Linked DNA regions of Kluyveromyces lactis. The protein of the gene in region 3 interacts with the protein of the main gene of each other region in a pairwise test. Links are inferred from orthologs where the notes say so. Each region holds a gene or a part of one and is shown on either strand. Other genes may lie near its edges.

The links.
Region 1: the proteins of PRE1 (region 3) and PRE4 interact in binary tests that used the Saccharomyces cerevisiae proteins (3 or more experiments, as listed by UniProt). The link is inferred for Kluyveromyces lactis from reciprocal best matches to the Saccharomyces cerevisiae genes PRE1 and PRE4.
Region 2: the proteins of PRE1 (region 3) and RAD23 interact in binary tests that used the Saccharomyces cerevisiae proteins (3 or more experiments, as listed by UniProt). The link is inferred for Kluyveromyces lactis from reciprocal best matches to the Saccharomyces cerevisiae genes PRE1 and RAD23.

The regions. Positions count from the first base shown.
Region 1 is NC_006040.1:986,395-989,168, reverse strand, and holds PRE4 (proteasome core particle subunit beta 7), read right to left. Parts: upstream 1,326-2,774; coding exon 528-1,325; downstream 1-527. Other genes in the region: RTG2 (Rtg2p), read right to left, coding at 1,751-2,774. UniProt on the Saccharomyces cerevisiae protein: Non-catalytic component of the proteasome which degrades poly-ubiquitinated proteins in the cytoplasm and in the nucleus. It is essential for the regulated turnover of proteins and for the removal of misfolded proteins.
Region 2 is NC_006041.1:1,974,071-1,977,068, forward strand, and holds RAD23 (Rad23p), read right to left. Parts: upstream 1,717-2,998; coding exon 565-1,716; downstream 1-564. Other genes in the region: putative acireductone synthase UTR4, read left to right, coding at 1-117; ANP1 (Anp1p), read right to left, coding at 2,292-2,998. UniProt on the Saccharomyces cerevisiae protein: Plays a central role both in proteasomal degradation of misfolded proteins and DNA repair.
Region 3 is NC_006038.1:1,023,705-1,026,299, forward strand, and holds PRE1 (proteasome core particle subunit beta 4), read right to left. Parts: upstream 1,149-2,595; coding exon 561-1,148; downstream 1-560. Other genes in the region: DEAH-box ATP-dependent RNA helicase PRP22, read right to left, coding at 1-222; DNA primase subunit PRI1, read right to left, coding at 1,540-2,595. UniProt on the Saccharomyces cerevisiae protein: Non-catalytic component of the proteasome which degrades poly-ubiquitinated proteins in the cytoplasm and in the nucleus. It is essential for the regulated turnover of proteins and for the removal of misfolded proteins.

The DNA.
Region 1 (2,774 bases), on a different chromosome or scaffold from region 3:
CAAGCCAGTTGTATTTGAGAGTATGGAATATAGGTATACTGGGCTAGCGCTATAAGTCCTCTAGTCTTTCCTTTGTCGATGATTCATTAATCAATTAGGTTACTACTTGTTTATATAGAATTAAACTTGTTTTCTAAAAGAATTGGAACTGTAAAAGAATAAAGAAAGGTAACTCCAACGATAACCTTCATATATACAGGTCCCTTCACTCGAAATATCTTAGTGACATAATGACTGAGCTGGCTGTCCAGTAGTTGACAGCATTGACGCCGTTTTGATCAGTTTCTTTCTTGGTGTATTATGTGTGAATATGTGCCCTAATTCAGAATTTACGCATAGTATACATTTATAGAGAAAACACAGAAGAGGTGAGGTCTTCCCGTTATTGACAAAGAAAGTATATATTACCAGAGCAGGATCACCATGTGTTGCTCTTCCTTTGTTGGCATGAGATTGTGTATTTTGGTGCAAGTATTATCTGCGTGGATAAGTGAAAGCATGAAGACAAGACGAAGTAAATCCGAAACCTATACCTTTTGGGTACCATATCCTCTGATGTCTTTGGCGAATTCCCAAGACATATTCTCTACTTGTAGGTCCTTTTCGATATTGAGCCCCAGTTCATTGTCGATTATAGCCAATGAAAACTTACGTGAACTACGGGCATCACGGTAGTATAATATTTTCATTGCCTCTAGGATAGCTTTCTTAGCAACATCTAGATTCACTTTTTCCACGTCCTTTTCGGTGTCTACTAGCTTTCTTAAAAGGGGCAATGCCAAGTGGGCACCGAACCCTGTAGCCAACGTTGGCGAAGAGTATGTGACACCTAATAGGTTAACGTATCTTAAAAATGGCTTTCCATCTTCTGTGCCCCCTACAATTATCGCATTCCATAAAGGATCTAACTTGGATCTACGTTGGTACATCACAGATGATAGATATTCAAAAACGAAGCTTGGTTTCAATTGCTCCTCATTATCCGCATATGCGCTATCGTAATTGTTTTCAATTTCCATCTCGTCTAATAGATGTTGAATGTATTGCATATCGGAAATGTCACCGGATACACCAACAACCGTGTTGGGACCCACTTTGATCAATCTCTCCTCGTTTGTGAAACGTAATAACGAACCGTAAGCACCTAGATTATCAGCTGCAACAATAACACCGTTATTATACTTAATACTGATGACAGAAGTACCGGTAATAATAGGGTTCTGAGTATTCATCTTTGGATTATTTGACGCTTGGGCAATGGCATGATTGTACGCGCCATAGTGTTCGTCAGATGGCCTTCCCCAGGCAAATGGATCGTGATTCATGTTGGAAAGTGTTTCAATGGATTGGATTCGCAGAAAATACCCTTGGTGACTCTTTAGTGTTGATTGTAACCTGTCGTGAAGTGAACTCCTTATGTATTAATTATGAATTGCATGTCTCTCTTATATTCGATAGTGGCAAAATCGTTCTAATAAGGTAAAATGTTAAAGGGCGGGTAACGCTATATTTTTCCAGCTAAAACAGAGTGATCAACAGAGGATACGACCATCGGATAGTAGTACACAGCAGCGCACTACACTACCTATATGGCGCTTTCACGAATATTTATATCACATTTTAGGGTCTGAGGCTTGTTACAAACAGGGTAAATTAGATATTAAATCTTCAACAGGAAGGGAGGCTGAGGGAAGTAAAATAAAGAGCATTCTATATAAAGCCTATACATACTGAGATCGCAATTGAGTGTTCAATAGAATTCTACATTGATCTTAACCTTGTCGCTGGAACCACGGGATAATTTCCTTATTTTCTTTTGCAACGTGATGATTCTTTGCCTCACAGAAGCAATAGTCTTTAGATCGTTTCTGTTAATCTTGACAACAACTTCGAATATCCTCTTGTTCGGGTTCCCTGTTGGAGTTGGCTTGCCGTTTCCTGAAAGGTTCTCATCTATAGATAGCATCTGTAAATCAATAGCCGATTCATCTTTCTCCGAAGTGCTGAAATGGAAGACACCATCTCCAATGTTACCACCAGGGTGAACACCACAAATGACATACATGATAGTGCCAATGTATTTTGTCCACCATATTGTCCTTTCACGTTCTAGTTTGTCACCATCTCTTAGTGCAATGTCTTCCAATAGCTTTTTGTACACTTCTTCAGGTTCTGGTATGTCTCCACCCCATCTATTGCACAATGCTATTCCCACCAAAGCTCTTGATCTGTGAGATAGCCCATGACACCCAGCAATGATACCAGATGTACCTACACGTAGTGCTGCGGTCGGTTGTAGTTCCTTTGGATATGAAGCGTGTACGAAAGCGAGGTTACAAAGAGCAGGAGCTATTCTTTCGTATACTATCTTTGGAATCTCTTTAGTAGGTATAGCAGTCCTTAATAGTTCCAAATATTTGTGAACAAGCAAAGGAGCATAGGGTCTGGTTGCAATGACAAGTGGATCCTGTGCTCTAATCTCCCTTGGAAGAATCGAGTATAAAGTACCTTCTCTGACACCACCTTCACTGAAATGAACGTTTTTGATCTTGGGCAATGACTCGGAAGCTGCTGCCATGAGTAGGCCTACAGCTGGTAATTGTTTGGCTCTTCTATCAGAGACTTTAAAGATCTTACTTGCCGATTCACCTGGAACTCTCTCCTTCAAAAACAAGTAGTCACACATGTTTGAGAACTCGCTAAAACTGCATGAAAATCCATTTATAATTGTTTGAATAGGATATTCTTTGATCTGCGATAATAGAAGATGACCC
Region 2 (2,998 bases), on a different chromosome or scaffold from region 3:
GAGTTAGACGCAGCTTTGGATGTAGGCATCAGCACCATCTTGGCATTGAGGCCTGGAAACAACCCGGTATCTAATGCAGAAAAATATAAAGCGCTTAATAACTTCTCATCTATATAAGACATGTCTAAGGTACACTGGTTCTCTGAATTGGGACTAAGGATATAGTGTAATGATGAATAAATTTAAAAAAATTAATGAAGGGGATATCTGATTGATTGTAACACAAATCCTACTTGAAGTTGGAAGTAAGAGATCGAACATACCACGCTCCGTCTGTTGCAGATTGACTAAGGTTGGTTAAGTATAACTGCTCATTATGAGTGCGTATGTGTGCAAAAATTGGAAGATGAATATGTGGGATGCCTTCGCTGTAGTAGGAAAATCTGACGGTATAGAGGTCATACTTGGATTGGCAAACACTACATGCTGGAGATATGAGTACGCATATTCCATATTATTAAACAAATTTGGTAGAGATAATTATTTTTGTTTTCTATTTTGAACATATTCTTCTTTCCCTACATGCCTAAAGAGACGATGGTTTATTGAAAAATCATACTACATTCAATCAGCGTAATTGTTGAATAGCATGTTGGCAGCAATTTCTTCGTTTTTGTCACATGCGAAGTAGATTTGCACCACCAAGGTCCTCTCAAAACCCAACTCGCAAAGTCTATTGATAGCTTCTTCATCTTCTGCTGAGATAGTAACATTGGGAGGCGCGCCTTGAGTTTGTCCCCCGAAATCACCTAGATCACCTTCTGCTATGTCATCTCCCAGATTTTCACCCAAAGAATCGGTTAGGGAACCGCCAACAGCTTCTAATAGCAAAGAGATAAACCTTTGTGGATCTTGCAGCATGGTCTCACGGAGATGTGGGTAACGCGTGCTTAGACTCTCGAAAAGTGGCATTAAAGCCTCTGGACGCCCAGATACAACGTCACGAAGTTGTGTAATGTCCTCCATAGTCAATCCGATTGTGCCCATTTCTTCTCCACCTAAACCAGCAGCGGATTCATGACCTTGCTCGCCATTATTGGCTTCTGCTTGTGCAAATAAATTGTCTTCATGTTCAGTGAATTGTGATGGCACGTCTGTTGCAACTTCAGAATTAGCATTCGCCCCAGCTTCACTAGTTACAGCTTCAGCTTGTTGCTGCGATGGCTCACTGGCTTCAGGAATACCCATAAGCAAATACTCCACTGCACGGTCAGGGTTGTTGAATGCTGCTCTAAGCGCACGTTCTACTTGTTCACGATCATAACCCATTTCCATGATTCTGTTCACAGTCTCGTTACGTTGAGAACCAGTGACAAACGAAGCATCAGTCGTCCCTTCTTCTTGTGTAACTGCAGTAGTACCTGTTCTTGTACCAGTGGTTGTAGCTTCCGCAGGTGCATTTGCAACTGCAGAAGTTTCTGCAGAAGCAGTGGCTTGAGATTCATCTTGGGGTTCAGTTGTGGATTCAGTTACCTTAACATCAGCCTTTTTCTTAGTTTTGCTAATCATGAATATAACCTGATCCCCTTCCTTAAGATTGCATCCTGATACGGTCTTAGGATCCTGGAGTATCTTACCTGCGTAGATCAACTTTATTTGAGATGCATCGCACTGTTTTTGTTCAGCGATCAATTCCTTGGCGTGTGAAATGGTGGCATCATCCGCCAATTCAATAGGTAGTTTTTCCTTTTTGAAATCTTTAAAATTAATAAGCATTATGCTTGTGATTTTCTTGGACTTTGTCTCAACGGTTGTTTTCTTGACTTTATCTTCTTTGCCACCCAGCCATCAGATTCAAGTTGATTTGGCATTAATTTCAATTTCTTTCACTGTTCTCAACTTTCATTTTCGATGTTGACAAAAAAAAAAACTGAAGGTATCTGACAAGATGCAGAACTCCGGAATACGCTGAAAATTACAGCTTAATGCAGCTTGATAACGTGTTTTCAGTATTTGCTTGCCTGTAATAGTTACCAGTAGTAATATGGTTTGAAGTAAACAAAATGAACAGATTATTGCAAGTACAATATTAGTATATAATGCATTTAAACGTAAATGTAAAAAAAAGTCTATTGATAAAAACCTCGATAATGATCTAAGGTGCATATTGTACAACTAGATACTCCAACGTGTTACAGTCTGCCTAATAATTGAATAATAATAGGGGATGGAAGCGATGAGAATTGAAATTAGATGGTTAAGATATCTTTTTAAAAAATATCTCGTTAGTGAAGAATGTATTTGTGGGTTTTATAATCTTCTTTACTCTTCACTGCCTAAACAGAAAATTATTAATGAGCAGGATCAAAGTCCAGTGGTACTTCATGTGAATCTTGATTATTTCCTCCGTTCCTTGAACCATCATCTGCTTCATCATCATCTGACCAGTCCACTTGAATCTTCCTATCTAGGACATTCGGATCAATGTTCTTCAAAATTTGTAACCTTTCTAGCTCCCACTCATCTCTCACGTCATCGAAACCAATATCCCAAATTCTAGCATAGAACTCTTGAATTTTTTGCTCTTCAACCCGACGTTTCTCTTCCTCGGCCATCCAGGCCATGTGTTTCAAATCGTCACTTGAAGGTTCGTAAATGTGCCAGATCACATAATGAGGTAGACCGACAACACTGTATTGCATTCTACGTGATAATTTACCAAAGGCTTCAGTTTCAGCATGTTTCTCGAAAGAGAACGCAGGGAAATGAGAACCTGTTCTAAAGACCTTAGCTTTAGATAAGATGGAAACACCACCAATTCCGTCTAGTTCCATCTCGACCTCGGGATCGCCGCTTGGGTCTCTCATGTAGGCCAAATGTGTTCTCCATGTAGCGTATTCCGGGTACCCTTCTACGATACAAGCATCTTCATCCAAAGAATCAGCTAATTGTAATCCACCCTCAGATTCAACCCATGAGTTCAAATCATATGGTTGTATATTTCCCAACCAATCGGGTAGAGGTCTCCAGACGTTTGGAACAATGACGTCTTTATCAT
Region 3 (2,595 bases):
AAGAGTCTTAACCCTTGTGGCTGCTGTGCTTCCAGCAGTCTTGTTCACCACATCATAAATGTCGGACACAACAGCGGCACTCAAATCCTGATCCATCTCCAACAGTTTTTTCTTAAACTCATTCTTCGTGGTACAGTTCTTATTTATGTTGATGATAAAATCAGCGACTATCTCATCATCTAAACCGAGTACTTTGCATATCTCCTTCTTGACATCAGACATGCTATTCGCAGCAGCAACCTTAACTTAGGTAGGTACTAGAAAGGACAGATCAGACGAAGCTGTTGCAGTGATGTTGCCTATCCTTTTTTTCATGTTTTGTTGAGATGAGATGAGATAAGATGGTTTACAATAAAGTCAATAAATCTCAAAATTGTATATTGATCAACGTCAAAAAGAGAGAGAAGACAAATCGATACACGCTAATCTACCAGCGACACCTCCAAACTTAAAATGCTTTTGACTCTTGGGTATTTCTGAGATAAGATATTACTTTGAGTTTTGTTTATACAAAAGATGTAAATATGTGTATGTACTTGATTCTGGTTAGAAAGATTGCACTAAAAGTCGTCAACGACCCTAACACCATCCTTATCCACGATTTTTACAATAACCCCCTTGAAATCAACTGGCATTCTTAGCTCTAGCTCTTGTACACATTGCTTCAATAAACCTAAGGCTTCATCTACTGTTAAATCCTCTCTGTAATGACGATCCAATAGAGAGAATGTGTAGAAACCAGCGTAACCGTGGGCAGCGTATGGTAATTCTACCTTAGTACCTAGATAATCTATCTGGTACAACTCTGCTTTCTCATTCTTGGTATCATAACCACCGATTAATACGTTAACTTGGAATGGTTTCCTCGATCTTAGGGATTTAGCCAATTCTGTTCTAACAAAACTCGATGCCGCATGAGGAGACAATTCATAATTTTCTCTAATCAAATACAATTGCATATTAGCCTGGATATATTCAGCAAACTGTACTGTATCACCAGCTTCACCAGAGAACGACATTAGTGTGTGAGGGAGTAATTGTCTGGTCTTGTCATCTGAATCTTTCAAAATTGAAATACCCCTAGTTACAGCCTTTGAAGAGGCCAATATCACCGAATCCTTGACTCTTATACCTAATAGAACATCCATTGGGAGATTTAGTATAAACTTTGACTCTTTTCACTGTCGATAGACCCTATATTTCCCTGTTTCCTCCCTGATAAAGGTTTGCCACCGTAAGTGTATGTTCTTTTTGTCAATTGTATTTTAGTTAAACATTTTCAAACATCATTTAAAGGTTTTCCACTGTATGAAAGGTGACAATACACAGAGAGAGAAACAGACAAAGCGTTTTATTCGCAGGAATGAAGCCCAAGCTAGGCGCCAATTGTGGGGTGATAGTAACTAAGAATACACTTGTTGAATGTTTTTTATTTTACTGTTTTGTTTCAGGTAGTATCGATAAATAGGTATTGTTCTTATTTGTAAATATACATATGTATATATGTGCTTGATCATGCAAGACAGCTGAATTAGGCATTCAGAAGTCAATAGACGACTTGATATCTTCTTCACGGTCTCTCTTTTGTGAGGATAATTCTTGTTTGACCAACTTGTTGACATACTTTCCGAACATGTCTAGGTACGGTTGTAGTGAAGTGCGTTGCACTTGATTATCGTTAGTATCCATTTCGTTCTGTAATTTTATAAGTTTTGGTGCCATTTCTGGTGAGAACTCTTCTGTAATCGGTACACAAACGTTACCAGTGGATGGATGTATACAGAATGGAGCCTTGAGTAAATGGATGGTTTGTTTTGTGACTTCCACATCTAATTTAGGGTATAGCGTTTGGATGATGATATCTTCTTTACTCTCGCGTAGTCTCTGCAAATAATCGTGTTGTCTCTGTTTAGGAAAGCTACTTATTAGCTGAGACGCTATCACATCCATGTCCTTCCATTTTTCCTCACTTGATCTTCCAGGTTTGTTGGTCCATAGTTTCTTTAGCTGCTCAGATAGCTGTTTGTCGTGACAACTGGTAGCCAAAGATTTTATCGCTAGTTCATCATCTCTCCAAGTGTCTTGTTCCCTTAGAATGATTTCAACGAAATGAGGTTTCAAAATCTCCAGAGATCTTGATAGATGTGGATGCAGCGGTCTAACCAAATTCAATCTCTTCTCAATATTTCTATCCCTAACCACGTTCATATAATCCAACATGTTCTTCCTATGAGAATCCGTCATGACCCTGGCTCTCTTGTCACTAATCCAACAATGGGCACCACGTCTACCAGAGAAAACCCAAATGAACTCATCAAAACCGAAATCATTTTCCAAAGATGAATTGATTACTTTCATAGCTAATTTAATAAAGTGCCAACACTTGGGACACACTTGTGCCCCAGAACAACATGTTCTATAACTATCATAATCATCCATATCGATATCGAAAACTAATTCTTTCTCCATCGGTTTCATCTCAGTCTTAAGTAAAGAGTCGCGCTCCCTTGGCGGTTTATTGTACACTGCACCGATCTCAAATCTATCTGGATTAGCCTTCTGGATCTGTACTTTGAACTCCTGTACGCTGTTGAA